Ovis aries: one gene and its partners. Each later gene encodes a partner of the first gene's protein in a complex. Links are inferred from orthologs where the notes say so. Each region holds a gene or a part of one and is shown in the gene's direction. Other genes may lie near its edges. The genes, in order: GNAI1, S1PR1, LTB4R, LPAR1, CHRM4, FFAR2 and SMO.

Region 1 (4,113 bases):
GGAAACTGGCAATCTCTCCCAGGCCCCAGGCCTTCCTTAGGAGACCCACTCTAAGGCTATCCTTCCTGTAGCATCAGCTCAGCCTTACCTTCTTGGAAAACTCAAGCCCAGTTTTTTAAACAAAGTTTTTATTTTTATTTTTAGAAAATAAGACTTATAAATGGTTGCTCTTTGGTTTCTGTTAGAGCAATTACCTAATATAACACATCAAAGAAGACGTTTTTCTTTGCTACCAACCCAGTCTTATAATCAACCAACATTTCCTGTGATATCTGTAAGGAAAAGTGCAACTGACAGAGACCAGATCTTAAGCCTATGCTCATTGATGACACGCTGGGTGAGATGCCTCCAACGCCCACAGAAGTGATTTCTCCCAGACCAGGTAAAGCTGGAAGGATGGAGGCTAGTGTGGATCAGTTCCATCTCATTTTATGGTTCAGGAAGCCAAAGCCTGCAATAAAGAATGACATGCCCAGTGGCTTCTGATTTACTAACATGGTCATGAATATTGGTGCAGAACTTGGCTTGGAAGCTTCTATGTCGCCCCAGAGGAGGTCAGTTACGGTGAGGAGGGGTTTTGTTTGTGTGGGTGTGTTGGCTCTTATTTTAAAAATATACTCTTTGATTCTTTGTCTCATATTTTCTCAGGTTTGAGGAAATCCTTCAAAATGTTTTCTGCCTGTGGAAAGGAACGTGAAAATGGATGGTAGGAGGGAGGAGAGAAGGAAAAAAAAAAAAAGGAAGAAAGTTGACCTCTTGTCCTCCCGGGACTTTCTGTTCCCCACTTCACCTGCTCGGCTTTCTCCATGGCTCCATTCCCAAACCAGCTCGCTCTATCTCCCACCGCCATGAAGGCCCGCTAACACGGGTTTGCATTTTGAAAACCCTCGCGCGCCCGCCCGAGCTGGGCATGCTCAAACGCCCAGGACTGGTTTTTTTTCGGTTTCCAACTTTGGCAGCTCTCCCACCCGCACCCCAAGGGGCAGGTCCGCACACATCCCTGGGTGTGAGTAAATGGGAAGAAATTATCACACTCTCGAGGAGGAAGCCAGGTAGAGGAATTCCCCGAGAGGTTTGGGGCTCCTTGGCCGCTTCCCAGGGGCGCTTCCCACGGGCGCGCGCGGGTGGCCGGCCCTCGCGGGCTGTGCGGCGCCAGGGTCCGCGGCAGCGCGGGTGCGCGCGCCCATCCGAGGGGGCGAGGTCCGAGGGCTCGTGCGCGGGCGCGCGCTCTGGGAGTGGTCGCGGGGCGGCGGGCGGGGCGGCAGGGGCGGGGACGCGGCGGCGCGCGGACGCCTCGGCGAGCTGGGCTTCTTAGAGGCTGCAGCGCGGCCACCAGTAGGAGGCCGCTGGCAGCTGCTCCGAGAGCCTAGGAACCTGGTCTTAGGGGGCGCCTAGGGAGGCGAGGAGTAGAGCCTGACTGTAGAAAAGAGCTGCGCGGTGCTGCTCGCCCTTCGGCAGAGAGCGCTGCCCTCGCTCAGTTTCGGAAGGAGGTAGGGGTGGCGTGGCCGGCGTCAGGAGGAATTCGAACGCCTGCATCCAGAAAGAAAGAATTCACCTGTGTTTCGAGGCAGCGCGCCGGACTTGGAGGGAGCGGCAGCCAGCTTTCGCTCCTGGCACAATGGGCTGTACGCTGAGCGCCGAGGACAAGGCAGCGGTGGAGCGGAGTAAGATGATCGACCGGAACCTCCGGGAGGATGGCGAGAAGGCGGCGCGCGAGGTCAAGCTGCTGCTGCTCGGTAAGGGCGGCCGGGCCGGGTTGGGCGCCTGGTGGGCCTGGAACCCGGGGTTCGGGCGGCAGAGCCGGGCGCGGCTGTGCTGGGCTCTTTGGCGTTGGGAAACCCGGAGGGGACGTGCCAAAGCGGCGGAGGGCGCATCGTGTAGCGTCCGAGGATGGTTTCGGAGCGCGAGCTTGTGCCGCGCAGAGCTGAGGCGGGGGCCCCTCTCCTCGGTCTTCTTCTCTTTGCTCCCTTGGCCGCGGAGAACTCGCCGGTGGCGCGGCAAGACTTCACTCGCGTGCCTGGTGTGAAATTTCACCAGGAGCCCAGGAGCGGTTCGCAAGGAAGCCCCCTTCTTTTAAGTTAGCTCAGCTTTATCAAAATGAAAGGGCATTGGCGAAAAAGAAAGAAGAGCACCCCCCGCACTAAAACCCTGCGTACAAGGCATCGTATCGCGGTTGTGGTTTCCTCGAGGATGTCAAGAGTGCCACGTTTTGTGAAATCAGTGCACCTTTTGTGGGGCCTCCCTAGGGTTGAATTGTGTCTTTCTGGTGAACTTCCTATGGCGACTCAGTAAGTGTTAAAGGAGCACTGATTACATTTACCTTGCGTAGGGGAAGTAGGCTATGCTGGATTTTTAAAAATAACTGTGGGGATATGAGAACCACCAAAGTTGGGTAACTGGCTTCAGTAAAACCGATGTGAAAGGTGTGAATGGGTCACACGGGACAACAGGATTCTCCTCTGCTGCCAGGGCTTCTGATGAATGAGATTTGCCAGGTCGACGCAAGGCTTTTATTTGTTCTTAGTATTGTTCTGGTGGTAAAACGCTCTGCGGAGGTCTTTTCCAGCTGTTTGAAGGAAGGGAACGTGAAAAGAGTAATCCAGGATTTTGATTGAGGGATACATTTGGAAAATATTCACAGTTTAAGATTTTTGATGTGTGAGTTAGGATTTTCTTTTGTTTGCCCCGCCCCCCCACCCCCCGCAAACACACCACACCACCCTACCTATAGGTAGCAAAGTAGGTGAAAGATTTCTCAGAATCTTTGTTTGCACTGCAGCGACTGCTTTTGTTTTTGTAACAGTTATAATAAAATAAATACTATTGCACAAGCCTATTTTCAGTAAGCTTCTGTTTCATTGGTTTAATGAGTGCAGGAAAAATGGTGGGTTTTTTTCTCCATTACTAGTAGGCTTAGAAGCTGCAAACTTGGCATGACTAAAAGTAATAATGATCTGAGTCATTCTACAAGTAAACTGTGAAATAACTTTGCATTTTAGAGACCTGGTGGTTTTTCCACACCTCCCCCTACCCAAAGTAAATCTTTCTCAGTTTATACTGTTTACCTAAGTTTTTACATTAATAAGAAATAGTCTTTTGAGGAAGGCAATATATTTTTAGTATCTTGAACACAGAAGGGACATACCTTGGTATGGGAACATATAGGTGCTCCTCTTTCAAATGGAATGTGCTTCAGACAAAAATGGAGAAAGGATTGAAAAGTTCTCTTCAGCAGTTTGTGCACTCCTGCTCTGATGTATTATTTCAGTGTATTGTGTGACGCTCATTTTGAGCCAGCTATCCACCATGTTTGTTTAAAGCCTTGAAAAATGAGTCCTCTGGTATGGTAATATGCTTTACATAGATGTCTATTAGAAATAGACAAGGATAAGGGTCCAAGGAGTTGGTGTTTGCTTATATTCAGAAGAGATCAGTATTTCTCAAACTTAGCACTACTGGCATTTTGGATGGAATATCTCTTTGTTGTGAAAGCTGTGTTGTGCCTTATAGGAAGCTTAGCAGAATCTTTGGCCTCCAACTAATGTCTCAAACATGCCCTAGGGGCAAGTTTAATCTCAGCTGAGACTAGCTCTTCTAGACTGAAAAATATATACTGAATATGTAGGGTAGAACCTGAGTTTGGATCTCTACCATGAACTGTAGTGAGAACTCTGAGGGAGGTGTAGCAGAGCTACGATTTTCAGAAGAAATTAAGGAGTTTTGTTTCTCCATACCAAGTACATTAGAAGGCTTTCAAAATGACTTAAAATCTTTAGGTAGCTGATTTTTTTCAGCTCTCTTTTTTAGCTTTAGTCTTGTGCTGTTCCCACACCTTTTCTCTGTAGAAGTCCCATCATAGCATCATATTATTGGCCCAGTGAATTAGGCCTTACAAAACAGAGGACCTCCTCGTCTGTCTTACTCCCATCCTACCCTCTACCCTTTTGCCCAGAGTTCCAACATTCTAGTTCCTTTAAACAGAATGTTGGCTTATTCTTGGAATGTTTGAAAAAATATTTCTTTTTCCTAGTTTGACTTTAGCAGTGAAGTGTTGACCTTTGGTTCTTTGGGGGATTTTTTTTTTTAGTTCTTAGTGTGTAAAGAGCTCAATTA
Region 2 (4,144 bases), on another chromosome or scaffold:
CTTGGTTTCTATGTCTTACGAATTTACTGTTGTTGAATTTGAGGGTGTGTGCTGGGCTCAAGGCTGTTGATGAGAGCTTTTGGGGAAACTGTATTCTAACTGTCATTTGATTTTTTTTTTTTTTTTTCCTTTGCAAAGTCATAAGATCCCAGAAGCCAGGAGTTGTTGTTTATTCATTCAGCCTCCTTCTGAGTCATTCAGGTACAGGGTGTGCCTGTACTGTGTTAATTGAAACTTCACAACGGAGAAGTTTTGCGTTGACATCTGCCTGGATGGGAAGCCAGTGAGACCAGAGATCGGGTGGAAACCGTCTTGCAAAGCCTCAAGCAGAAGGGCAGGGCAGAAGGGCCCTCAGTTTACCACTTAGGCGGAGCTGACCAAGGCCGACTCTCAGTCTCACATTCTGAAGCAGCATGCAAGCGAAAGGAAACAGTGGGCGAGTTGTGAGCACTGAGGCTGGGCCTCCGAAGTAGAAAGACGTAGAAAGACAGACAAGGGCTCCGGCCCCAGGCTGCCGGTCCTAGGCTGGTCCGTGCCGGGCAGCCCTTTCTCTTTGGAAACTCCTGAGCTGCCCAAGCTATTTAAACTCGCGGGCCCCGGCAGCTGCCCACCTCCTCACAGACCTCACCACTGGCTAGAATCTGGGACACAAGGCCTGATTTTGCGCCCAGTTGAGTGAGGGGAACCCCCGCACAACACCTCGCCCCCAGCTGGCCCATTTCACTGTGCGCCCCGCGAAAGCCACTTTCTGCCCCCTCAGACCGCAAGTTTCGAGGCAGCAGAAGGATGAGGGTGAGGGAGGGAGGTGAGCTGAAGCGGTGGAACCTCCCAGGCCATTCTTCTACCCGGGCAGCATTTCTCCTCCATCCTTCTGGCAGCCCCTTCCCAGCACCCCGTCCCCAGGAACACGACCGGGACTCGCGGGGTCGCGGAGCTGGTTTCCCCCTGCCTCCGCAGAAGCGCCTGGGGTCGTGGTGGGGTGGCGGCCCGGAGCGCCCGGCCACAATCTTCGGACTCCGATCCCCCACGGGCTGCGGGGTTAAGGGGACCAGAAAGGCGCACTAGATTGCCCAGGCCGTCCTCTGTCTCCCAAGACTCTTCTTGAGAAAAGTTTCCAAAAGCGCTTCCCCTCCTTTCTTTTCTAAGGCTGGGGAGAGCTGTCTCCACCGCCAGGGAGCGGCGGATAGCAGGGCGAGGACCGTGATTTATACATTGAGTCCAGGGGGCACCAGGCTCCGCCCCCTTTCTTTCTTTCTTTTTTTTTTCCCCCTTCTTTTTTTGGTTCCCTTGGGGAGGAGGGGCTCTTTTTTGTCTGTGTGTTTCTGCTGCAGATCTTTCCTGGACAGTGAGTCTCAGCTGCACAGATCCGGCGGCCCCCAGGCGCGAGCGGAGGGGCACGGGGGTTTGAGGCACTCACTCCTCCTCATCCCTTCCTAGAGAAGCCGCTCAGCCTCAGCGGGGCGCTCGGCGACTTCAGCTGACCGGTCTGCCCGGCCACGGCAAGAGCGTTGGCCATTGGAGTGTGCGGCTGCGGAGGGAGGGGACCCCGACTCGAGTAAATTGAGAGCTCGACGCCGTCAGTCCCGGGCAGCAGCAAGATGCCGAGCGCTCAGTGCAGACCCGGAGCTCCGCGAACGCAGCTGCGTCCCGCCTGAGCCAGGTAGGGAGTGAGCGCTGGGCAGGCGCGGACCCGGGCGAGCAGGGGAGCATCGCGACCGGAGGTCTTCCGAGGCAGAAACAAAATTTTCAAACCGGAGAGAAGCAAAGCAACACTTTTAAACCATCCATCTCTGGGTGCTGAGAACAAGCATCTCTGGGCTACTCAGGCGCCCAACCGGATCGGATTGTTCTGGGCTCACTAAAAAGTTTGGAAAAGGGTTAAGTCCTCTTTGTAGAACCCTCTGGGGTTGGGGGATAGAGGAAGTTGCGGTGGGTCTGCGGAGTGGGAGGGAAGGCGCTTATTTTGGAAAATCCTATAGACAAAGACTGCGGGAGATGAGGTAAGGGCTTAAACTTGCCCTGCGAGCGAGCGAGTGTGGAATTAGGTGGGGGGAAACGCGGAGCTACTGGGCGCCGAGCAGCCTCTGCTGTCCCGGGAATTGCTGTAGTCTGGAGAATTCCACTTTTATCGCATTTGCTACCCTGAGTGTTACCCTGAAACATTTAAACAACTTACGGGTAGACTTCTGCCCACACGTGCCGTGTTTCATCCCCTCCACACTTCGTAGTTCTCTGAGACGAGGCAACGTATTGAGGGAGGGCAGTAAATAAAACTGGCTTAGCAAGGAACCTCCAGACTTCTGTTTGTATGAGTTTCTGGAGAGTAATTTTGCATTCGAAATTTGAAATGCAGTGGCGTGTATTTTTAGCGTTTGTAATTTAATTTCTCTTTTTTGTATGCGTGTTTGGGCTATATCCACAGTAACTAAAAAATACTTTTGCAATCAATGGGTGTACGAAACTTCTGGGATTTATTGCAATAGCTTATGAATGATTTTTACTGAGTACTTTTATAGTTTCTTGCACTGACTTGCGCGGAAAAAAAAAAAAAAAAGAAGAAGAAGAAGAATGAAAAGGCAGTTGCTTCACGGAGGCGCTAAAGCTTTCCTGTTTACCGCAAGGCCAGGGCGGGCTTGGCTGCCCACACTGTGCTGCGCCTTCGGACCCTAAGCACACCTGCTCCTAGAGATTATTAATAGAGCCTAAAAAGTGACTTACGCTGTCAAATGATTTTCGCGCAAATCTAACTTCTTGCATGGCAATTAGGAGGTGGTTTTAGCTGGGTAGTGCCGAGCACAGAGGTGTGCGTCTCACATTGGTGGTTTGGTCTCTTCGAAGGTGTGACTAGGAGCTAGTGGTGAGCCCGCCGCGAAGCTGGTGAAGGCTTTAGTTTTTCAACTGGAGCTGGAAATCTGGTGGAGGTGGGGACAGCGTTGGGAGAGGCGGAGGGGTGTGTGTGTGTGTGTGTGTGTGTGTGTTGAGGACGTAGGAGTGGAATTAAATGGGGCTCACACCTCCAGTTTTCCCATTTCCATTTGGGTATATGTAACCATAGGGGACGTTTTCGTCTTGTCGTCGAGTCGGAGTTTTCATCTTGGGTAATTTTTCTTTTTTCCCTTTCTTTCTCTCTCTCACCCTTCTTCCTTTTTCCCCCCAAGAAATGAGAGTTTGATGTTTTTTTTTTTTTTTTAAATCCTTCCCCCCTGCGCTCTCCCCAAGTTTCCTTAAAACAAATCAACAAGAAAATTGGAGCAATGCCTTCGCTAGAATGAATTATGCCAATGTGCTGTGGCTTTTTCCCTGACTCTCTGCTCTTTGTGATTTGTTTAAGGCTGTGGTTTCCGAGGCCCTCTCCAGCTTAAGAAAACCTTCACAAAAAAAGCCTGGATCTCTCTCCTTGAACCACCCCGGCTGCCTGTGAAGGCTCGCTCCGCTTCGCCCTCTAGCGTTCATCTGCAGAAGCGCCGCCCCGGGTGTCGGGACCGTGCGCATCATGGGGTCCACCCGCATCCCCCTGGTCAAGGCCCTGCACAGCCCTGTCTCCGACTATGTCAACTACGACATCATTGTCCGGCATTATAACTACACGGGAAAGCTGAAGATCAGCGCGGACAAGGACAATGGCATTAAACTGATCTCAGTGGTGTTCATTCTTATCTGCTGCTTTATCATCCTAGAGAACATCTTTGTTTTGCTGACCATCTGGAAAACCAAGAAGTTCCACCGACCCATGTACTATTTTATCGGCAACCTGGCCCTCTCAGACCTGTTGGCGGGAGTGGCCTACACAGCCAACCTGCTCTTGTCTGGGGCCACCACCTACAAGCTAACCCCCGCCCAGTGGTTTCTGCGGGAAGGGAGTATGTTTGTGGCCCTCTCGGCCTCCGTGTTCAGCCTCCTGGCCATCGCCATTGAGCGCTACATCACTATGCTGAAGATGAAGCTCCACAATGGGAGCAACCGGTTCCGCTCCTTCCTGCTCATCAGTGCCTGCTGGGTCATCTCCCTCGTCCTGGGGGGCCTGCCCATCATGGGCTGGAACTGCATCAGCACGCTGCCCAGCTGCTCCACCGTGCTGCCGCTCTACCACAAGCACTATATCCTCTTTTGCACCACGGTCTTCACTCTGCTCCTGCTCGCCATT
Region 3 (4,093 bases), on another chromosome or scaffold:
TACGACAGCACCCCACTCTGCAGGGCACCCCCCCTCATCAGTGTACTGAAGCTTCACCACTAAACCCTATCAGCCCTGGGACAGACACTGACCCCCCGCCCCTTGCCTGGATTGTTTGTCCTCTATGAGGAGTCTGACAACTCCTCACCTCTCTCATTGCCTCTGCCCTCAAGATCAGGGCTAGGCAAGACAAGAGGCTTGGGAGAGACAGAAGGGATCAGTGGTCTACTGCAGCCCCAGTATGGGCCTCTCACCCTGCGGGGGCTCCAGCGCTGTCCCAGCTCCAGCACCATCAGGCACGTGTCATCCTCCAACAGCTGGAAGAAGTCCTCGCTCTCCACGGTGGTCCCGTCTTCCTCCAGCACCAGTGTGAGTGCTCCACTCAGCGCCAGGGCCTCCAGAGCCTGCCCAGTGGCAAGAAGCAGGAGGGGAGGGGCAGAGCTTATCCTGTGCCCTGTCTCTGCCCAGCACCCAGCACCCAGCGGTGGGCCCTGGGTGCTGGGTGCTGACCCCAGCTCTCCGCGGCTCTCTGGCGTCCCTGCAGAAGGCTCCAGCTCACAGTGTTGTTTGGTTGTTGGGAAACCCTCATTAGGGCCCATTGTTTTCCCATTTGTCCTGTTTTGCTCCTGCCAGGCACTGTCACCTCTCCCAGCTTCCAAGCCACACCTGCCGGTTTGGAACTGAAAAACTAGCCAAGTTCTCTGGGGTTAAGGTATTATGCTGACAAGGCCTGCCATGATGGGGTCTCATCTCCAGCACCCCAGCTCACTCTCCCCAACCCTCACAGTTCTCCAGAGCTGTTTGCAGTAATGGTGACTTTTCACCTTTTTGAGTCTTCACAAGGGTCAAGTATCTGTTGTAGCACTTTCATACCTTATCTGCTATACCTTTCCACAGCCCAAGGAGGCAGCTGTATCGTTTCCTTTTTACAAATGAAGAAACTGAAGTTTTGATGGGCTGAATACCTACCCAAGATTTGACAGTAGGAAGCGGCAGAATCAGGATTTGAATTTGATCTGTCAGACACTGCCGTTCCATACATTGGAGTTCTGAAATGTATTGCTCCAACCCTATACACTCCTCCCCCACCCCCAAAGAGAAGCTTGCTCCTTAGAAAAAAAAATAAATCGCCTCAAATGCAGTAGAAGCCATCGGGCTGACCTCCCTGCTTTCAGCCCTCAGAGGGAGGGGCAGCCATGTAATAACCACAGCTCTTTCTGCTCATCATTCCAAACTCTCTCTCTTGACTAGCCCCTTGGCTGCCCCTACTCTTGGCACCCAGGGACTTGACTCACTCGCCTTGTCTAGCAGTTCCTGACGGGTAGCGGCTGTCAGGCCTTTCCGGGTGGTCCGCTTGTGATCACAGACTCGGAAAGGTCGCTGGGGTGGTGGAGCCGAGGTCCAGACCTTTCGGCCCAAATCGGCGCTCATGTTGGATACTGACCTGGTAGGTGGGAAGGAGGGTCAAGAAGGGGTGAGAGGCCTGCTGAGTGCACTGGGGGTGATGGGCATGGGTGGGGTAGCTGCAGCGTTAGGAGAGTTGGGAGAGAGGCTCTAGGTTTGCAGATTAGAGTAGCCCAGGGAGAGGAAAAGACTACCGAGCAGGGATGGAGGACGTGGGGGGCTGGCGGGGGAATGGGGAGAATGGGGGACTGGGTGTGGGGCAGAGTCTAGACAAGCCCACTGTGAAAAGTGGTGGCAGGGAGGGGGAGGGGCACAAAGGAAGCTAGAGGCTGAATGGAGTGTTGTGGCTCTGCCCATATACCCAGAGCTGGAGAGTGGAGTGGGGGGTTAGGAGTCACCTGAGCAGGCCGCTGGGGTCCAGGTTAGAGAGGTACTCCATGGTGGAGGGAGGGACCCGGAGAGGAGCCTCTCCCTGGATACCTAGGCTGGGTGCTTCTCTGCTGGGCTGGAGCTGAAGTGGTGGTGTTTTCTGTTACAGAGCTGGGATCTCAGCCCCAGTGAGTAGGGGGATGAGTCAAGCCTGGACTCTGGCCCCCTCTGCCTGGCCAGTACACAGGGCAAAGTCCAAGTTGGGGGTGGGGGTGTGGCGTGGTGGTGGAAGGACTGTGTCCCCAGATGCCAGGCAAAAGCCATGGAGGTTTTGTGAGAGTGTCTCTGGTGGCAGTGTGTGATGTGAGAGTAAACAGGAACTATGTAACTGGAATGTAATCTCTGGTGTTTTTCTTTATATGGAGGGAATTTCTAGCTGCCAATCTGTGCAAAGCTGCGTTATGTGCTTTGCTTTGTATGTGCTGCCACCTACTGAAAAAAACATTTACTGCAGTTTTAGGAAAAGGGAGGCTGTGCTGAGGATCTGCAGGGCTTGGAGAAAACAGGTTAGGAGGCAGTATGCACCCACGGGGTGTAACCCATGGATCTAGGATCATCAGGATCTTGTCTGGGACCTTGGCCTTCCTGCTTCCCTGCTCTTCCTTCTGTGGTCCAGGGGAGGGGCTGGCTTAACATTTCTCTGACTTCCGTCTCTAGAACTGCCTGCTTCAGTCACAGTGGATTAGTCACTCACTTTTCCCTCCCACTGGCCAATAAATAGCATGAAGGAGTCATGGATGGGGGCTTCCCAGGTGGCGCTAATGGTAAAGAACCCGCCTACCAATGCAGGAGACAGATGTGGGTCCAGTCCCTGGGTCAGGAAGATCCCCTGGAGGAGGTCCCTATGGACAGAGGAGCCTGGTGGACTAGTCCATGGGGTCGAAAAGAGTCACACATGACTGAGCGACAGGACGCACAGTCATGGTTGGGGGCAGAGAAAATGCCTCCTTTAATGGACTTTAGGTATCCCGTGTCCCATCTCTCACTTCAGCTGTGGTTGTGATAACAGTTGTGTGGAAGCTCAGACTCTCACTGTCAGTGAACACATCACACAAACACTGTCCAGGAGCCTTGTCTGAAGCTGTACAGGACAGGCTGCAAGTGTGCGTCAGGGCATTATAGCCTCTAGGACAACCCTCAAACAATGGGGAAGGTGAGCTGGACATAAACATCTGCCTTCCGTCTTTCGGGAAGGTATTCCGTGTGCTCAGAGGTTCCTGGAGCCCACTGAAGGAACACAATAACACACTCTTACTGGCTCCCCTCTTCCCCTTCCCTTGCTCTCACTCTGGCTTCCCGAGCTGACCGCCTAGAGACAGGATTACCTGAATCCACACCCTCGACTCAGGCTCTGCTGGGAGGGAAACCAAACTAATACTGGTGTCCTGGCTCCCAAGGAGCCTCTTTCTGGCTGTTAACAGGCAGAAGCCTTTTTCCTTCTTCCCTCACTGTTATCAATCTGCCAAATTTCATTCCTAAGTTTTGCCTGACCTCACCACCCAGAGACGGCTTCCTTCCAGTGTGTCTCTCACCGCAGCCTCTCCTTTTTCCTCACCTCATATCCCGGTGCAGCCCAGCAGTGTGGCCTCTTCATGGGTGTGTGTCACAACTCTGCACGCAGCCTATAAGCCCGTCACACCTCCGTGCATCTCCCACTCCCCCCAGGCACTTAGCCCCATGCTTTACACTGAAAGTTGTCACTGATAGCCCTCTGAGAGCCGTGAGGCTGGAGTGACGAGTAGGGCCCAAGGCAGGAGGTGAGAGGGGGTAGGTAGGAAGCTGAGGAAGAGGGGCTTAAGTGTCAGGAGTCCGAAAACAGGCAAAGATACAGCAGCTATGGGAATGAGGAGTTGGGTTGCCTTCTCTGCTGAGAGCTGGCAAGGGACGCCTGACAGTGTAAGAGCTGCAGGGTGGGAGGGCTGAGAACCGGGGGTGTGTGTGTGTTGCAGGGGGGAAATGAGTGCAGAGGCAGGACCCAGGGCCAGGATCCGGCAGGGTCCCTACTCACCCACACACCCAGGGAACCTCATCTGCACCCCCTCAGCCTATCCTGTTTCTTGGGGAGGCGGGCTCTCACATGCCTGGACGAGTTAGTGATGGGAAGCAGCAGGGTGAGGGAGGGCTCCTGGAAAGGCCCAAGAGGAGCCCCACCTTGTCCCTCCCTGTTTCTGCCTCACCCTCTGCCAACCTGACAGGCACAGGACAGACTTAGACAACTTGCCCACTGCCGCTTTGCCTTTGGGCTTCCCCAGGCCCCTGG
Region 4 (3,992 bases), on another chromosome or scaffold:
AGCTAAGTGAGTTTTCTGAGTTGATAGAGCTATAGTTGAAAACAAAAGTCCTTTTCAAGTATATTCTTTCTTTTCTTACCAATATATACTTTGTATTATACTTAGATTATATAGTGGATATTTTCCTATTCGTCCTGGTGCATTAGAGTTTAACATCAGCTCTCATTGTTCACAGTGTGATGTTTTTATATACTTTCTGCATGCTGTAAATGAACATACTAGCACTGTGCATGTATTAAAATCTCTAATTTTTCACATTATCTATTATAAAAGAAATTATAAATTGGTAGGAAAGGGGAGATGGAGAAGGAAATGGCAACCCACTCCAGTGTTCTTGCCTGGAGAATCCCAGGGATGGGGGAGCCTGGTGGGCTGCCATCTATGGGGTCGCACAGAATTGGGGACGAGTGAAGCGACTTAGCAGCAGCAGCAGGAAAGGGGAGAAGGCAGTCATTTAAGCTGATTTTTTAACAAAGGGGATTTGATACATTGTTTGAAAAAGGAAACAGCCTCAGATAGTAACTGACGAGCAGTCAGGTTTTTAGCCTTGAGCATCCTGTGAAAACCACGAGACCAACTCACCCAAGGTTCTCAGCAGTCGCTTGCGGGAGATGGTCACGTTCTCTTCGAAAGTATACCAAGAAATCTTCCCCTCCCCACTCGCTGCGGTTCCCAGTGACCTCTCTCTTCTGCAAAGCCTTAGGTTACCGAGTGACCGGCATCAACGCAGCCCTCCCTCGCGGTTCTGCCTTTCTTTCTTACAGGTAGTTGGATCAGTCCTGCCAAAGTTCCTACCATACCGCTGGCGTGGCCCCCACGTGCCATTTCAGGCCAGAGTGCAGTGTTTACTTGTAAGCAGCTACTTTTGTTGTGCAGCGCCTTTAGCAGTGAAGCCAGAGGCAGACTGCCAACGCTCCTAAAAGCCAGGGGTGGTAGGTGGTAGGTGGCGCGGCAGGAGAGCCCTCGCGTCCTCCCTGTGGCCGCCCCCTCCGTGGACTGGGAGGTGTTCAGAACCTGGGCGAGTCTCTCCGGCTGCCTCTTTCCGGAGAAGGATCTCCAGGCCTTAGTCCCGCACCGCTCCCGCCCACACCTTCAGGTGTGTATTCCCCGCCCTTAATTACTCTTCTAAAATTGATAGTTTGCACTTCTTGGCGAAGTGCAAGTGCAAACTGGGAAAGCGGAAGAGAAATGTATAATCATGGACATGGAGAACTAGGGGCGCACAGTCACACTTGCTTTAGTCTGCAGACCCAGTCAGTCGCAAACTCAGAAATAGAAACGTGTGCACCTTTCGGGCAGCAAAGTTGACTCCGCGTTCTTCGCAGCCTCGAGTTAAAAGCTGCGCTGGGAGAGCTGTGCCTGCTGGAAAGTTTGGACACGAACTACGCGAGAGGCCAGACGTTAGGGTTTCCGCGGGCCCGGCGATGTCTTCCAGAGCTTTTCAAGTGGGAAGAAAAGAGCGACAAAATGAAAATGCAACGTGTGGGGGTGGCCACCCGAGTCCCGCAAGCTGCCGGTCTCAGAGGTGAGCGCGGGAGCGGGTGCGGGGTGGGGAGCTGGAGTTGGAGGCCAGAGGGTCTCGGGCCGCGGGTGGGTTCTCTCCGGGTGGGGGGCGCTGGGAAGATGATGAATGGGAGGCTTGAGCTACCTTCCGCCCCCGCCCTGCAGACGGGGCTGGAAGTCCAACTAAATGGGGGAGGAGGAGCGCCGAGGGTCGGGGCTCGGGGGGCGTCGCGCCAGGTAAGGGAATGAGCCAGGGGGAGGGAGTCGGGAGGTGCAGGACTTGCTGACTTGTGCTACGTGGAGCCAGCAGAAAAGAAGGAGGCGGAGGAAGAAGGCGGCCGGCGTCGGCGCGGCTCCCGTGGCCCTCCCTCGGCGCCCCCTCCCCCGCCGCCCCTGCCAGCGCGCCAAAGCCGGAGCACTCCGGGCGGAGCGGCGGCAGACGCTCCCCGAGCCGCGACGCCCCTGTCCCCCTGCGGAGCCCGCCCGGGTGTCGGGCGGCCAGGGTCCCCCCCCCCGCTGCTGAGCCCTTCCCGGCCTCCCGGCCGCGCTCGGGACCCCGGCGGGGTGGGCGCAGGGGGCGGCCCCGCTCCGGGCGACGGCCGAGGGGCGGGCGGAGGGCCGGGCTCGGCGGGCCGCGGGGCGGGGGCTGCGGGGATTGACCGCGCAGCCTGAGGCCAGCCTGGGGGCGGCGGGAGCCGGACGCGAGGCGGCGGCGGGCGCAGGTAAAGGCGCGGGCGCGGCGCGGGCAGACGGTACCCTCTGAGCGCAGAGCCTGCGGCCGCCGGGTCCCTTCCGCGGCCAAAGGGCGCCCCGGGATCGCGCTTCCCGGCAGCAGACGCGCTTTGTGGCTGTGGGTGCGTGTGTTTGTGCGTGTGTTTGTGTGTGTGTGTATACGCGCGCGCCTGTGCCGGGTGTGGGTGCGTGTCTATGCCCGCGGGCCAGCCTGTAGGAGCGAGGCGCTGCCGGCCTCCCCAACCAGTTGACCGAGCCCCGGGAGAGCAGTTGCGGCAGCCGCCCGGGGTCCCCGCCCTCCGGTCCCCAGCGCGCTCCGGGGCCCACGCTGTGCGCTGTGCCTGCGATCGGGACCCGCCCAAGTGACACGTAGGTGGTCCCCGCTTACCTGGGACTGGGTGGGGGCACAAGAAGGCAGGCGGGGGGCGCTCTACGACCTCCCCAAGCCGTGTCCGGGTGGCCTTGGGCCGCCGGGGGTCCTCGCGCCCCGCAGCGCCGGGCTCCCGCACCACTTGCTTCTCACCCCCACTCAGCCGTCTCTCCCGGCTGAGGACTTAAAGCTTAAGTTTCTGCTCACCCGCCTAATAAACACGTTTATCAAGTAACTGGGAAGTCTAAAGCAAGGGAGGGACCTGGCTTTGAGTTGGTGGTTTTGAAATCGACGGGCTACTTGTGTGTGTGTGTGTGTGTGTGTGTGTGTGTGTGTGTGTGTGTAGGACGAGTTTGTCGTGAATGGATTTACCATTTATTCTGGTTTTCTTTGCTGCCATTTGGACTTCGATGTGTAAGAATGACGGTATCCAGGACTTGCTGCTGCCTTCACTCTGGGGCCTGAGATTCCTGCTCTCTGCTGCTACTTCTCTTTCTTTTCCTTTTTGTTGAAATCTATGGAGTTTTTGTAAACGTGGGTTTCCAGTGAGAGCTGGCTTGTTAAAGTTTCACTGTGAACGCGTTGTTTTCTATTGGAATAAACACATATTTACAAACATGAATCTTGAAACAAGTAACTGCAGTTAGGAGAGCAAAATCCTCTATTCCTTCAGGCTTTAACAGTCCGAGTTTTTCACCTATTTGCTCAAGTGTCATTTGCCCAGCCTACGTATAACCGTGAAGCGGGAGGTCTGTGATTTAAAGCTTTCAGTTCCGGTTATAGAGAGACTGCACTGGGAAACCTGCAAAGTTCCTTCTCCTAAGAAACTATTCCCTTGACAGATAAAGAGTAGTAAAGCCCCAAGGAAAAAGGGTGTGTACTGGAATTATGCTTATTTGGACGGAACTAAATTGTGTTAACACACATATGTCATCCGGTTGTTTCTACCCTTGATTCTCCAATTCAAGGAGACTGGAGAATATTTGTCCCCAAAGCAAAATTGTGAATAACGATCACCATTATTAAGACTGCGTTTTTCTTGATATGGTTTAATTTGAGAATAAAGAAGCCAAGTAGCCAGAGAAAGAGGTAGTGTGTGGCAGGGTCAGGCTGAAGGACCAGCAGGAGGACTGGGTTATCACAATGAGCCACAGGCACACCACGCCCCCTAGCGGTGCGACCTTAGCCAGTTGGGTAAACTAGTCCTCCCTTGCCCGTGTCCTCATCTGGAAAATGGAAGGAAGGGTTTGATCATCTTTGCTGTTCCTTCCAGCTCCTTGCGATAACTAGAAACTGGAGGGTGGTTATCCCATGTTAGAACAGTAGGAAGTGAGTAAAGGGGAGAATAAACCGTTAGTCTGGGAGGTACGGGGGAGGGCAAGCAGGC
Region 5 (4,254 bases), on another chromosome or scaffold:
CCCCTTTTCTGGCAGCTCCTGCTGCCTCCTCCGCTGCGGTACGCCCTCCACCTCCCCGCGCCCAGCACACACAGCCCCCCGCCCAACCCGTGGAGGAGGGGCGGGACTTGAATTGTTTTTTCAAGAAAAGAAACCATCCGTCTTAAGGTTTAATCGGACGTTCGCGCTCAGAGAGTTTGGGGTGGCAAGCCCCGGGGCCTGGGCATGTGGTGGGGCAGGGTGGGGGATGGGGGGGGCAAGTCGGACCTTAGCCGGCCGCAGGAAGGAAGGTCTCGGGGGAGGCAGGAACGCTGGTGCCCGCAGGCGGAGCGGAGCAGCCGAGGTCAGCGTCGAGGTGGCGCTCTCCGAGGTGCTGAAGCCTTCCAGCGCTCATCCCTCGAGCGCCCCAACTGGCCCTCCAGCTCGGGGCAGGCAAGGCCCCGAGCCCCAGGGCTTCGGCCCGCGCCGTTCTCGAACACCTCAAGAGACCCGCAGCTATCTCCCTCGAGGCTCTCGTTCCGGGTTCCACCCCAGGTGACCTTGGGCACTCAGATTTCCCTCACAGGCATCGGAGAGCTTGCCCTGCAGGCCGGAGGGCCCCGCGTCCTGTCCCCGGGGCTGGAGAAAGGGCGCACACCCGCTCTCCGGCTTGGAACGCGGGAGCAGGGAGCCGGACGGCAGGAATGGGGGTCGGGCGAGGTTGCGTGCGATGAGCCAGCTCCTTTCTCCCTAGGGACCGTCGCCTAGCTTCTCTCTCCAGCGCCTTTCCAGGCCCCGACGGCGCCCCTTCTTCCCTGGCTGCCCGGAGGCCAATACTCCGTCTGGAGGCTCGAAACTGCCGGCCCTCGGCTCTGCCCCGACGGAACCCGGACGGCAGAGAGCCCACCCCACCCACCCACCCATAACTTCCTGTTAGGGTCAAACACTCGCGCCCCGGTGGTCCAGCTGCGAGCCGGGCAGTGTGAGGAGAGAGACCCGGGTGGGGCACGAGACCCCCTCCCCGTCCCCTGGGCTTGGTCAGAGCGGGGGCGGGAGCGCAGCCAGACGGGGCTGCCAGCTCCCTTCCCAGCCCGCGAGGGGGCGCCGCGTCCCCATGACAACGCGGACACCCCACCCCACCCCACCCCCCCATGCTCCCGGGAGGGCAGCGCCCCCCGCTAAGCCGCGCTGGGAGCCGCGGGCGGTGCCCCCCACAGTGCCCGAGTGGAGAGCCTCCGGCCGGCTCCAGGGAGGGGCGCGCGTAGCAGGGGTCCCCGACGCCGGGGTGGTGCCCCCCGCGCGTCCCCGTTGGGTGGCCGGCCCGGGGCGGGCGGCGCGGCCCCGCCAGGATTGGCTGCTTCCCCGTGACATCACGCGGCTCGGGGAAAAGTGCGAGCGTGAGCGCGAGTCTCAGCCACAGCGCCGGGAGCTGCGGGCGGAGCAGGGGCCGCCCCTCTGCACCCCGTCCCCGCCCCCGGCCCGCGGCCCGGCCGCGCGCCCCGCCCGCCGGCCCGCGGGGCCACCCCCCAGTCCCGCCGTCTGTCAGGTGCGAGGGGAACGGGGCGGAGGTGTCTGGTAAGTGACTCCGCGGCTGCGCGGGGGCGGGGGACTCAGTGGGCAGAGAAGGACGCGTGGCTCGCGGACCCTCGGAGGCTCCCCGAGGCGGGCCCGACTAGGACAGGGCCCCAGGCTTCTTCGGGGGCGAGCCCGGTGCTGGGAGCTGCAGAAGGCCTGGGGGGTGAGGGGCCCGCTGGAAGAAAGGCCCGGAGTGTGGCTCGGAGGCTTCTCCAGGTGCGCCTCCGGGAAGGAATGGACAAGCAGTGGGTCGGGCGGCGGCGGTGCTGGTGCCGGTGTGTGTGCCCGCCCGCAGCCCCTCAGGAGCCCGGGGCAGCCGTCGGGGGCGGGACCCCGTACTTCATCCTGCACTGGCAGCTCTTCGGGGCGCCGGGCGCTGGAGCCCCAAAGAGGCTTTTTCCCGCCCGTCTCCTCGCCACCCCGGCGCCGCCAGCCCACTCCAGTCCACCGAATCCTCCATCAGCGACCTTGAACTCTGACTGGAAACACCCCTGCCCTCTCCTGGCGCCCCTCCCCCCTCCAAGACTCCCCTCCTTTGTCGCCCAGGCTCAGAGACTGGGAGGTCCAGCACCTAGCCCCGAGCCCCATGGCGGAAGTGTCACGCGCAGTGCAGTGTCGGTGCCAAATCCCCTGCGCCCCTTCTCCCTCCCCGCAACTCCTGAGTCTCCTCTCCTACCCCAGGGACACAGCAGAGACCACAGCCTTCCTGGAGCCCTAGCGTGAACGCCTAGGAATCGAGGACTCACCTCCCACCCCCGCCCTTCACCACCACCGCCCCCCGGCCCTGGCGCCTGGGGAAAGGGGGGCTCCAGTTCCCAGGAAAGCAAGGTGCCCACGCCCAGAGGCTGCAGAAACTGCGTTCCAGGGAGTTGGGGGAGGGTGGGGCACGGGGGAGCCAGGGCCCCTTCGACCACCAGGGAGTCGGGGAGACGTGGTCTCCAGTTGGGCCCAGTAATAATTCCCGACGAGGCCCACCCCAGTCCAGGGCTCGAGAGGCCGGGTGCCCTCTCCAGCCGCTGATGCCGGGCGGTTCCTCTACGGCGGGGTTCAGGGTTAGGAGTGTGAGATGGGAAAGAGTCTTACACACGCCTTACACAAGTCCCGGCCGGGCATCCCAGTTATGGAGGTGCTTCTGGCACCCTTCCCCCGCAGACTGGGCGCCCTTTGGCGATATCTGCGCAGTGGGCACACTGAGCAGAACCGAGTGTCCCGCAAGTCAGGTTGAGAGACTCTTAACAGCAACCCCTCGACAAAAGCCCGTCCCAGTCCGGGATTCGGCACCTCAATGTTGGGGACGCACACACCGCGGGGCCCTGAGCTAAGACGATGCCCCCACGTCTGGGGTCTCCCAGGCAACTCAGACTGTAGTCGGGTCTTGCGGTGCAGCCGGGAACGCTTCCCCATACACAGGCGGGGAGCGATCTAGACCCGGGTTCTTGGCCGACCTTCTTCATACTCAGACAGCCGAAGTATGGGCTGAGCCTCCGGGCAGGGGCGGGACGCACAGGACCCACGGTGGATCCGGCATTTGCTCCTGTACACAGGCTCACAGATGCAGGCACACCCGAACCGTGTGCATGCCCAGGCCGCAGCACTCCAGGCACACACAGAGACATGCACATGCACGTGTCCACACCGCGCGAGCATGCTCACGCGCACACGGGCGCACTGGTATCCAGGCGTGGCTCAGCGCGCACACACACAGCACATGCAGACAGCTACTAGCTTCTACTCGCGCTCCCCAGTGATCACACACAAACAGAACTCGCACTCGCCTTCCCGCCCACCCATGCCTCGCAGTGTGCCGGGTGGAACCGGGTGCCCTTAACTTTCCCACTGCGGAACCCCTGGAGGAGCCCAATGCAGCTCTGGGGCGGGGCCTGGCGAAGGGGCTCCTAGGCCCTCCCCTGTGAGGCCCTACCTGGGACTTCCCGTGAGTTCCCTGTAGCTCTTGGAGTTTGGGGGCGGTGGGCGAATAGCGGCCACCTGCTCTAGATCCGGAGCTGCACCCAGGGACCGACATTGCCATCTAGCGGTGCACACATCCCCGGGCGGTGGCTGCTCCCCAGGTTCCCGCGGGGCCTGAATCCCAGAGAAGCGCCCCAGCAGAGGGTGCAGTTGGAATGTCTGCGGGTGACCCCCTGAAAGATATTTGGGGCGGGAAGAGGGGAAAGTATTTGCCTAGACCTGTCTGCAGCTGGCCGCTTCCCCAAGCAGGTCCAGGGCAAGGAGTAAACCCTTGGCCACCTGATTGGAGACAAGCTGTTCAGATGGAGGTAAGAGATCTGTTTTTCTCTGGGAAAGCTAAGAGAGGGAGCCCACAGGGAATGAGAAGAGACCCTACACCCAGGCCTCCCCAGATCCACCCCGGTGCTGTGTGCTCAGTTGTGTCCGACTCTTTGTGACCCCATGGACTGTAGCCTGCCAGGCTCCTCTGTCCATCAGGATTCTCCATGTAAGAATACTGGAGCGGGTTGCTTTTCCTTCTCCAGGGGATCTTCCCAACCTTGGTATTGAACTCCTGTCTCTGGTGTCTCCTATGTTGCAGATGGATTCTTTTAACCGCTGAGCCACCTGAGGCAGGATAGAGTAGAGGCAGGAAAACAAGAGGCTGTTGTAGCACCTGGGGGTTAAGGTGGCTCCCGGGCTCTAATTCTGCCCCCACCCCTCCTTACACACTGGGTAACTTTAGGCAAGTTAATTCACATCCTCGCGTGTAAG
Region 6 (4,170 bases), on another chromosome or scaffold:
TGGCACGTCTGTGCCCTCAGCCTCCAGATAGCCTACCAGGTGGCTCACTCTCTAGGAAGCTGTCCAGCTGGCTTGGGAGGAGGGACCACGTCCTCTTACGGGCATCCATTACATGTAAAGCACTGGCTTGAATCCCTTATCTACGCTGCCTTGGGGACCCCTCACAGAAGTCCTGGAATGTAAGTATCCCCGTCCTCGCTTGACTATCAAGGAAACTAAAGTTCAGAAAATTGATCTGCCTCAAGGTCACAACGAAGGGACTTGGATTTGCGCCCACATCTTGATTTGGGGCTTGCCTGGTGGCTCAGCTTGTAAAGAATCCACCTGCAATGCGGGAGACCTGGGTTCGATCCCTGGGTTGCAAAGATCCCCTGGAGAAGGAAATGGCAACCCACTGCCATATTCTGGCCTGAAGAATTCCACGGACAGAGGAGCCTGGCAGACTATAGTCCATGGAGTCGCAAAGAGTCGAGACATGACTGAGTGCATTTCACTTCACTTCACCACATGATTTTAAATCTCACACTGACATAGGCTAGGAGAAAGTGATCAGTTTCCACTGGGCAGGCTAAAGAGACTTGTTGCGCAGGAAACTTCAGAAAGAGAAGAAAAGGAAGTATAAAACTCTTTTTGGAGACTGAGTAGAATTACAGAAGAAACCGCCTAGAAAAGAGAAGACGATGAAATAATCTGACTTGGGAAATGGGGGGGAGGGGGAATGCCTGGGATTGAAAAAAAATTCAGGAACTAAGGACAGAAAATCTGGGTTTGGAAATCAGAGTGAGGATCTCGGGGCGAGTGGTGGGGAATAAAGATGCTCACATCCTTTCCTTTGGGTTCGAGAGGAGACAGCACTCAATTACTGAGCTTCCCCTCTTCGGTCACATGACCATTGCTGATACAAAAGCTTTCTACCAGCCAAGTTTCTTACCACTTTTTGCTGTGTGAAATGGGCGGTAGCCGTAGCTAATGCTCTGTGCCTCTTTCCCAGAAGCTTTCAGACTCTCCTTCAAGACTAATCCCAAGAAGCCATTTATCCCGAAGGAAGACAAGGCAAGGCAGCTTGCTTAATGCTTGCACTCTGGGAAGTGATGCCAGGATCAGGAAAGCGTTGAGGGTGGCTGGAGGAAACTGACTGTGAGAGGATCAAAACCAGAAACAGCAGCCAATGGGGGCAAGAAATTGCGGAGCAGACACTAACCCTGGAGAGAGGATGGAGGGGCCAGACAGCGTGCGGCCAGTGAGGCTGACAAACCAAACGGAAACTGTTACCCTGTTAAGAAGAGTTGCTCTGTTTGTTGTCAAAACACCCGGCTCAGGACCAGTGACAGCCCGTGTGCTTTTCTGAATATTCTCTGAAGTCTCTCGGGGGACAAGCCCCATAGAATATTGTGGGCTCACCCCTCCTCCCTGCGCCCCCTCCCCGCACTTCTCCAGCTTCCTCTTTGCAATCTAGTCCCCCAGTCCGAGTCTGTATTGGACTGGGGAGGGAGAGGTGGAGAAGAATTTGTGTTCTGCAAAAGGAGAGGAAAACAGGTAAGGGGATGGATGGGGGGCTGGGCACCTGCTTCCTGGGCCAGTAGCAGGGTCCTGAGGAGGAATCAGCCCTAGGTCGCGGGGCCTGGGTTTTCAGAGCCCGAGTTCTCCTGAGAGAAGTCTTCCAATACCCTCCTTGCTGGGGTGAGGCTTGCCTTTTCTCTTTGCAGGTCTCTAACTGGGGAAAGGACTTGAGGAAGGTTGCAGACTGCTAACAGTAACTTCCTGTGTCCAGGAGGAGAGGAGGAGAGAGGCTGGGAGAACCACAGGGGGAATTCCCTTGGGCAGCCAAGGGTTGGTCTCCCCCAGAGACACACGATGGCAAACGTAGTAACTACTGCTTAATATCCCGCCCCAAGCAAAGTCAATAATTGCTCTGGGCAGTTCTGGCAGGTGGTGTGAACAAGCAGTGGTGGGGGCAGAGAGCCCTGGCCTGGGAAAGGGAGCATGCCCGGGAAGATGTCCACAGACTGAACCAGACTAGGGTCTGCAGTCTGTGAGCTGGTTCACCTGACCTTGCCCCCTACCCCTTTTCATCCTCTTCCAGGACAGCCATGCCAAACTTGGACAGCTCCTTGATCCTCGCGGCCTACATTATTATCTTGCTCACCGGTCTCCCTGCCAACCTCCTGGCGCTGCGAGCCTTCCTGGGACGGGTGCGCCAGCCCCACCCCGCACCCGTCCACATCCTCCTGCTCAACCTGACACTGGCCGACCTCCTGCTGCTGCTGCTGCTGCCCTTCAAGATCATCGAAGCCGCGTCTGACTTCCTCTGGGAGCTGTCTGATCTAGCCTGTGCCCTCATGGGTTTCGGCTTCTACAGCAGCATCTACTGCAGCACGTGGCTACTGGCGGGCATCAGCATCGAGCGCTACCTGGGAGTGGCTTTCCCCTTGCAGTACAAGCTGTCCCGCCGGCCTGTGTATGGAGTGATCGCTGCTCTGATCGCCTGGGTCATGTCCTTTGGTCACGGCACCGTGGTGATCATTGTTCAGTACCTGAATTCAACCCAGAGGGTCCCAAAGGAGAATGAGACCTCCTGCTACGAGAACTTCAGCCAAGAGCAGCTGAGGATATTGCTGCCCATTCGGCTGGAGCTGTGCCTCCTCCTCTTCTTTCTCCCCATGGTCGTCACCACCTTTTGCTACTGGCGCTTTGTGTGGATCATGCTCACCCAGCCCCATATGGGGGCTCAGAAGCGGCGCCGAGCCATGGGGCTGGCCATCGTATCGCTCCTTAATTTCCTGCTGTGCTTTGGGCCCTATAACATATCCCACCTGGTGGGGTTCCACATGAAAGCAAGCCCCAAGTGGCGGAGGGAAGCTGTCGTATTTGGTAGCCTCAATGCCAGTCTGGACCCCTTTCTTTTCTATTTCTCTTCCTCAGTCGTACGCAGGTCGTTTGGGAAAGGGCTGCAGGCACTGCACCATCGGGGCTCCTCTCTTTTGGGACGCAGATGCAAAGAAACGGCGGAGGCCACGAATGAGGACCCGGGTGTGAGTCAAGCAGAGGGAGCGCCGAGTTCGGACTTCACCATGGACTAGGGATGTTCCTGGACCTTCGGAGGAACTCTGAGTTTTGTAGGAGTTGAGCAGGCTTGGAGAGGGAGAATACGAGTTCCTGGCCCTGATTCAGGGATTTCCCTCCACCCAGACCCAATCGACTCCTGAGGACTGTAAAAATCTCTCTCACCAGCTCCATATCCCTTCCTGACTGAATTTCCTTCCCAAAGGAGCATAGCTCCAGGACTAAAGAAGAAACAGTTGGGCACAGAAGCACACTATCAGACCAGAGTTTCTGAAGCAATATAGCTAATGCAGATTCCAGCAGTCCTTGTGAGGCAGTTAGTAGCTGAAGCTAAGGCAATCTTGCTACCAGCTTGGCAACACCTACACGCTGGTCTAGTTGGTGGTGCTGAAAAGAAGCCCATGGAAAAGATAGAAGAGAAATACTAAACGAGATCGAAAATGTAAGAAGGCTCTGAACCTAGGGGACTAGGAGGGAGGACGGGGATTTAGACCTCTAATGACTGAGGTGTGGACAATATCCAGCTAACCTGCTGCTTTGTAAGTATGATCCTGTCTTTGTGTGTGTACCTGTCTCCCCCAGTAAACTGGGAGCCACCTGACGTCTGGGTAGGTATTCTCCCTCCATGGTGCTTCCTGCAGGTCAGAACCCAGCTTGGTACCCATCAGTTAGGGCTCAACTCTCACTAGCACAGGAAAAGACAATGTGGTCTGGCAGATTAAAAATAAAGATTAGAGACTTTCCTGGTGGTCCAATGGTGAAGATTCCGTGCTTCCACTTCAGGGGGCACAGGTTCAATCCCTGGTCAGGGATCTAGGATCCTGCATGGGGAACTAAGATTCTCCATGCCACAAGGTGTGGCCAGAAAAAAAAAAAGAATGAAAATAAAGATTATAAAACCCTGAAGAGAGTGTCCACAATTTTTGTGACATTTCTGCAAGCACAAAGAGAGCAAAAATGGAATGGAGAATTAGACTCTGGTAGTGGGAGGGTGCTGCCTCTGAAACCACAGAAATCTGTTAAGATAAAGATGTCATCAGAGTGGAATGAGTAAGCAGAATAAGTATGGATGGATTCCTCTAGACCAATGAATAGAGATTAGATTCA
Region 7 (3,500 bases), about 52 Mb from region 1:
ACTGGGATAACTGGAAAAGTTGGGAACTTGAAAAACGCAGCATCTCTTTCTCTTTCAATGAGAAGGGGACAACAAAGGATGAGATGGTGGATGGCATGACTGACGCGATGGACATGAGTTTGAGTAGGCTCCAGGAGTTGGTGATGGACAGGGAAGCCTGGTGTGCTGCAGCCTGTGGGGTCACAAACAGTCAGACACGACTGAGCCACTGAAGTGAACTGACCTTTCCCTTTCTTCTTTTGGGCCCAGGGTCTGTCAATGCAGTCTCCACCAGGCCTCTTCAGCAGGACAGCCTTGGGATAGTTAATCTGATTACATGGCAACTGGGCTTCAAGAACAAGGGTTCCAAGAGACCCAGGCAAAAACCAAATGGCTTCTTATTATGATCCAGGCTTGAGAGTTTGAGAACATCACTGCCACCACATTTTATTGGTAGAGCAAGTCACTAAGACCAGCCCATATTCCACAGTATCTTTATTAAACGTCCATCTGTTTCTCCTCTAAAATACATTTTACTCTAGGGAGCTCCTCCCTATTTAAAATGTATTGTGTAATAAACATCCAGTAAAATTCACTTTCTTTGTTGTCACAGTTCTGTGAGTTTAGACAAAGGCATAGCCTGGATGCAGCCACTGCATTCAAGATGGAGAACAGCCCCATCACCCCCAAATGTTCCCTCGTGCTGTCCCTTGGTAGGCAAAGTCCTCTCCTACTCCATCCCCTGGCAACCACTGCTGTGTCCTCCACCCATACCCAGGCAGTCAGAATTTTGGAGACTGGGTTCTCCATCTAGAGGGATAGAGGTCCCCCAGGTGATTCTGATTTGAGTCAGGTCTGAGAACCGTTGGTAGGAACATGTCTTCTTTTAAAATACCAGTTCAGTTCAGTTGCTCCGTTGTGTCCGACTCTGTAGCCCCATGGATTGCAGCACGCCAGGCTTCCAAGGCGCAAGCATCTTAATTTCATGGCTGCAGTCACTTTCATTACTGCAGTCATCTGCAGTGATTTTGGAGCCCAAGAAAATAAAGTCTGTCACTTAAAAAAAATTTATATCTATATATAATTTTGCTGCGTTGGGTCTTAGTTGCTGCAGGTGGGATCTTTAGTCGCAGCATGCTGCACCTTTTAGTTGACTAGTCCCCTGATCAGGGATCAAACCTGGATAGAGTCTTAGCCACTGAACCACCAGGGAAGTCCCTCAAGAACACTGCCTATTAAGCAATAGGAATTTGCTTTGCGCCCTTAGAATAGGCTTTGCTAGTGAGAGCTGTGAGTGGTCAGAGGCCTCAGATAAGTAACAGTAACAGCTAATATCTCTTGAGTGCTTAGTATATGACAGGTACTGGGCTATATACATTTGGCACATTATTTCACTCTGCACCACAGTTCCACTAAATCTATTGTCCCCATTTCACAGATGAGGAAATTAAGGCTCAAGATTAAGTAATTTGTCCAAGATCACACAGCCAGGAAATGGTAGAGCCACAGTTTGGACTCAGGCAGGCCAAATTTTGAGGTCCATGCTCCTTATCCCTCCCTCCCCAAAAGAGAAGTTACCTGCCCCCACCAGCTCCAGCCTGGGCAGTTCCCCATGTCAGCTCTCACTTCCTCAGAAGCTTATCCTAATACAATGTCTTGTTTGGGAAATAGGTGTTCCTGCAGGAGGGATGATTCAGGAGGAACAGAGGGATGGAATGCTGAAGTGAGCTCAGCCAGCGGGGGAGCAGGGTAGAGGCCTGGGCTGGGGCGGGGGTGCTGGGAGACCTCCACCTGCGTGCGTCTTGCTGACAAGACCTTTCCTCCCCCTGCACTGGAAACAGCCTCCTCTGTTTCTCTCCATCTGATTTCCTGTTTCCTCTTCTGGCTTTGGATTACCTGGCTCCCCTGACTACCTCTTCCTAAGCTCCTACCTGTTCTCTGTCCCACCTCAGCTTGGTAAGAGGAACAAGGGTCCGGGGGTCTGGGCAAGGGGAAACACCTCCTGGATCTGGTGCACGGGCCCTGTGGGGGTGGGTCCCACAGCCCTCCTTCCCCATGGACTGTAGAAGGTTTAAGAATGCCCCTGAAAAATTAAAAGGTAAATTGATTTTGGGTTCTCAACCAGAGATGCCAACATTTGGGTCATTTTGAAATGGGGGCTGCTTTTTAAAAACTTGAATTGAACTGCAATATGTTAATACATGGAGAAAAGGGGCACAGATTGATTTTCACAAGGTAAATATACCCGTGTAACTGGTACCAGATCAAGAAATAGAACATCACCAGTGTCCCAGAAGTCCTCATCAAGCTTCTTCCAGTCCCAAGCCTGGAGTGGGAGGGGTGGGGAGCATTTTTTTGCTTGTCACTAGGACTTAGGGGTTCTGTTGGCATTTAGTAGGCAGGTTCTAGGGATGCCAAATGTCCTGCAGTACATGGGACAGTTCTGCACAAAGAATGGTCCCGCCCAAATGCCTGGCTGAGAAATGCTGTGCCTGATGGAACTGAGCAGTCATGGCCTGCAGCGTGGCCAAGAGAGATGGTTTAGGCCCAGGGAACAGGGATGCAGCTGGGTCTGTGGGTCAAGGTGAGGAAGGGTCTTCACTGCAATGTATCCACACTGTGGCTACACCCCCAGGCCTCCGGAACGCCCCCCGCTGCTGGGCAGTGATCCAGCCCCTACTGTGTGCTGTGTACATGCCTAAGTGTGAGAACGACCGGGTGGAGCTGCCCAGCCGTACCCTCTGCCAGGCCACCCGCGGCCCCTGTGCCATCGTGGAGAGGGAGCGGGGCTGGCCCGACTTCCTGCGCTGCACCCCCGACCACTTCCCTGAGGGCTGCCCGGTGAGTGCTCCGCAGGGCTGGGCTGGGGCTGAGCTGGGCATGGGGACAAGGCCCAGCAGGGGCAGGGAAGCTCAGAGCCTAATGAGCTGAAAGATCCCAAGTCGTGGGCTCAGCGAGCCACAGACCCAAACCAAAACTGGGCCAGTCCATCAGGGATTATCTTGTCTAGTTATAAAACATTTTTGAGCACCCACTTTGTTACACAGTGGGGAGTTACAGGAGTCATGAGTGACAAACCTATTCTCAGAAAGTTTATCGTTTATTTAGGAAGTCAAGGCTTGCACATGTGAAACGCAAGAGACACCAAGACAGGGATGGGATCTAGTTCTGGGGTGAAGGAGAGCACATTAATAATAATAATAGTAATCATTATTTATTACTGTCCACATACATTTTAAACATCTTACATTTATTTATTTATTCACTTAACCCTTAGATCACACCATGAAGTAAGTACTGCTCTCCGATCAGGAAACAGCTAACGGGGAGGTCACATAACTTGCCCTAGGCTATGTGGTCCCTGAGCCGCAAGGCTGGGATTCAGATGCTGGAAGGTTGTCTACAGCACCTGCGCTTTCAGCCTCTCTGCCATGCTAACCCTGCACCTCCTATTAAACCAAAGGTCACCTCGAGCCTACTGCTTTCCATTGTATTGTCTTCTCCCCTTGCCAGAATGAGGT

What was found.
Region 2: the proteins of GNAI1 (region 1) and S1PR1 are in contact, whole or in part, in a cryo-EM structure (PDB 7VIE), measured with the Homo sapiens proteins. The link is inferred for Ovis aries from reciprocal best matches to the Homo sapiens genes GNAI1 and S1PR1. Residues at the interface, in NP_002060.4 of Homo sapiens: Ala31, Arg32, Glu33, Val34, Leu194, Thr219, Tyr320, Phe334, Asp337, Ala338, Thr340, Asp341, Ile343, Ile344, Lys345, Asn347, Leu348, Lys349, Asp350, Cys351, Gly352, Leu353, Phe354; in NP_001307659.1 of Homo sapiens: Arg78, Met80, Arg142, Thr145, Met146, Met149, Lys150, Leu151, His152, Asn153, Arg231, Ser232, Leu235, Thr236, Phe237, Lys250, Leu254, Thr257, Thr314, Asn315, Lys316.
Region 3: the proteins of GNAI1 (region 1) and LTB4R are in contact, whole or in part, in a cryo-EM structure (PDB 7VKT), measured with the Homo sapiens proteins. The link is inferred for Ovis aries from reciprocal best matches to the Homo sapiens genes GNAI1 and LTB4R. Residues at the interface, in NP_002060.4 of Homo sapiens: Glu28, Ala31, Arg32, Leu194, Glu318, Tyr320, Thr340, Asp341, Ile343, Ile344, Lys345, Asn347, Leu348, Asp350, Cys351, Gly352, Leu353, Phe354; in NP_001137391.1 of Homo sapiens: Thr53, Asp114, Arg115, Ala118, Val119, Pro122, Phe123, Ser125, Gln126, Lys127, Arg129, Thr130, Leu208, Arg211, Arg212, Phe213, Arg215, Arg217, Arg218, Thr219, Gly289, Gly290, Gly291.
Region 4: the proteins of GNAI1 (region 1) and LPAR1 are in contact, whole or in part, in a cryo-EM structure (PDB 7YU7), measured with the Homo sapiens proteins. The link is inferred for Ovis aries from reciprocal best matches to the Homo sapiens genes GNAI1 and LPAR1. Residues at the interface, in NP_002060.4 of Homo sapiens: Ala31, Arg32, Leu194, Gly217, Val218, Thr219, Tyr320, Gln333, Phe334, Phe336, Asp337, Ala338, Thr340, Asp341, Val342, Ile343, Ile344, Lys345, Asn346, Asn347, Leu348, Asp350, Cys351, Gly352, Leu353, Phe354; in NP_001338326.1 of Homo sapiens: Ile84, Tyr85, Arg146, Thr149, Val150, Arg152, Met153, Gln154, Leu155, His156, Tyr225, Tyr231, Val232, Arg235, Thr236, Arg238, Met239, Thr252, Ser255, Leu256, Thr259, Arg314, Asp315.
Region 5: the proteins of GNAI1 (region 1) and CHRM4 are in contact, whole or in part, in a cryo-EM structure (PDB 7TRK), measured with the Homo sapiens proteins. The link is inferred for Ovis aries from reciprocal best matches to the Homo sapiens genes GNAI1 and CHRM4. Residues at the interface, in NP_002060.4 of Homo sapiens: Arg32, Leu194, Glu318, Tyr320, Phe336, Asp337, Ala338, Thr340, Asp341, Ile343, Ile344, Lys345, Asn347, Leu348, Lys349, Asp350, Cys351, Gly352, Leu353, Phe354; in NP_000732.2 of Homo sapiens: Asn67, Arg130, Cys133, Val134, Pro137, Leu138, Pro141, Ala142, Ile218, Ala221, Ser222, Ser224, Val226, Arg394, Lys397, Val398, Thr401, Ile402, Cys456, Asn457.
Region 6: the proteins of GNAI1 (region 1) and FFAR2 are in contact, whole or in part, in a cryo-EM structure (PDB 9NS9), measured with the Homo sapiens proteins. The link is inferred for Ovis aries from reciprocal best matches to the Homo sapiens genes GNAI1 and FFAR2. Residues at the interface, in NP_002060.4 of Homo sapiens: Glu28, Ala31, Arg32, Glu33, Val34, Asp193, Leu194, Phe336, Thr340, Asp341, Ile343, Ile344, Lys345, Asn347, Leu348, Asp350, Cys351, Gly352, Leu353, Phe354; in NP_001357016.1 of Homo sapiens: Gln40, Ala42, Val44, His45, Glu106, Arg107, Gly110, Val111, Pro114, Val115, Tyr117, Lys118, Leu119, Ser120, Arg121, Arg122, Phe202, Met206, Gln209, Pro210, Leu211, Val212, Arg216, Arg219, Ala220, Leu223, Ala224, Phe273, Ser276, Ser277.
Region 7: the proteins of GNAI1 (region 1) and SMO are in contact, whole or in part, in a cryo-EM structure (PDB 6XBM), measured with the Homo sapiens proteins. The link is inferred for Ovis aries from reciprocal best matches to the Homo sapiens genes GNAI1 and SMO. Residues at the interface, in NP_002060.4 of Homo sapiens: Glu28, Arg32, Glu33, Lys192, Leu194, Gln333, Phe336, Asp337, Thr340, Asp341, Ile343, Ile344, Asn347, Leu348, Lys349, Asp350, Cys351, Gly352, Leu353, Phe354; in NP_005622.1 of Homo sapiens: Arg261, Pro263, Ala264, Trp339, Ser342, Phe343, Ala345, Leu346, Gly347, Thr348, Thr349, Tyr350, Ser354, His433, Pro434, Gly435, Ser438, Lys440, Ala441, Lys444, Ile445, Glu447, Thr448, Arg451, Trp535.

What each region holds. Positions count from the first base shown.
Region 1 is NC_056057.1:42,546,185-42,550,297, reverse strand, and holds the start of GNAI1 (guanine nucleotide-binding protein G(i) subunit alpha-1), read left to right. Parts: upstream 1-1,313; 5' UTR 1,314-1,618; coding exon 1,619-1,736; intron 1,737-4,113. UniProt on the Homo sapiens protein: Guanine nucleotide-binding proteins (G proteins) function as transducers downstream of G protein-coupled receptors (GPCRs) in numerous signaling cascades.
Region 2 is NC_056054.1:78,585,834-78,589,977, forward strand, and holds the start of S1PR1 (sphingosine 1-phosphate receptor 1), read left to right. Parts: upstream 1-1,344; 5' UTR 1,345-1,660; exon of another isoform or gene 1,661-3,098; intron 3,099-3,331; 5' UTR 3,332-3,493; coding exon 3,494-4,144.
Region 3 is NC_056060.1:20,677,597-20,681,689, reverse strand, and holds the start of LTB4R (leukotriene B4 receptor 1), read left to right. Parts: upstream 1-1,293; 5' UTR 1,294-1,299; coding exon of another isoform or gene 1,300-1,429; coding exon 1,430-1,447; intron 1,448-1,802; coding exon of another isoform or gene 1,803-1,843; exon of another isoform or gene 1,844-1,925; intron 1,926-4,028; exon of another isoform or gene 4,029-4,093. Other genes in the region: lipid transferase CIDEB, read right to left, coding at 1-17, 255-404, 1,300-1,444, 1,803-1,843. UniProt on the Homo sapiens protein: Receptor for extracellular ATP > UTP and ADP. The activity of this receptor is mediated by G proteins which activate a phosphatidylinositol-calcium second messenger system.
Region 4 is NC_056055.1:12,383,330-12,387,321, forward strand, and holds the start of LPAR1 (lysophosphatidic acid receptor 1), read left to right. Parts: upstream 1-1,192; 5' UTR 1,193-1,525; intron 1,526-1,909; exon of another isoform or gene 1,910-3,992.
Region 5 is NC_056068.1:75,317,270-75,321,523, reverse strand, and holds the start of CHRM4 (muscarinic acetylcholine receptor M4), read left to right. Parts: upstream 1-1,454; 5' UTR 1,455-1,533; intron 1,534-4,254. UniProt on the Homo sapiens protein: The muscarinic acetylcholine receptor mediates various cellular responses, including inhibition of adenylate cyclase, breakdown of phosphoinositides and modulation of potassium channels through the action of G proteins.
Region 6 is NC_056067.1:45,404,719-45,408,888, forward strand, and holds FFAR2 (free fatty acid receptor 2), read left to right. Parts: upstream 1-1,370; 5' UTR 1,371-1,536; intron 1,537-2,083; 5' UTR 2,084-2,090; coding exon 2,091-3,080; 3' UTR 3,081-3,969; downstream 3,970-4,170. UniProt on the Homo sapiens protein: G protein-coupled receptor that is activated by a major product of dietary fiber digestion, the short chain fatty acids (SCFAs), and that plays a role in the regulation of whole-body energy homeostasis and in intestinal immunity.
Region 7 is NC_056057.1:94,816,574-94,820,073, forward strand, and holds part of SMO (protein smoothened), read left to right. Parts: exon of another isoform or gene 1-1,935; intron 1,936-2,614; coding exon 2,615-2,820; intron 2,821-3,492; coding exon 3,493-3,500. UniProt on the Homo sapiens protein: G protein-coupled receptor which associates with the patched protein (PTCH) to transduce hedgehog protein signaling. Binding of sonic hedgehog (SHH) to its receptor patched prevents inhibition of smoothened (SMO) by patched.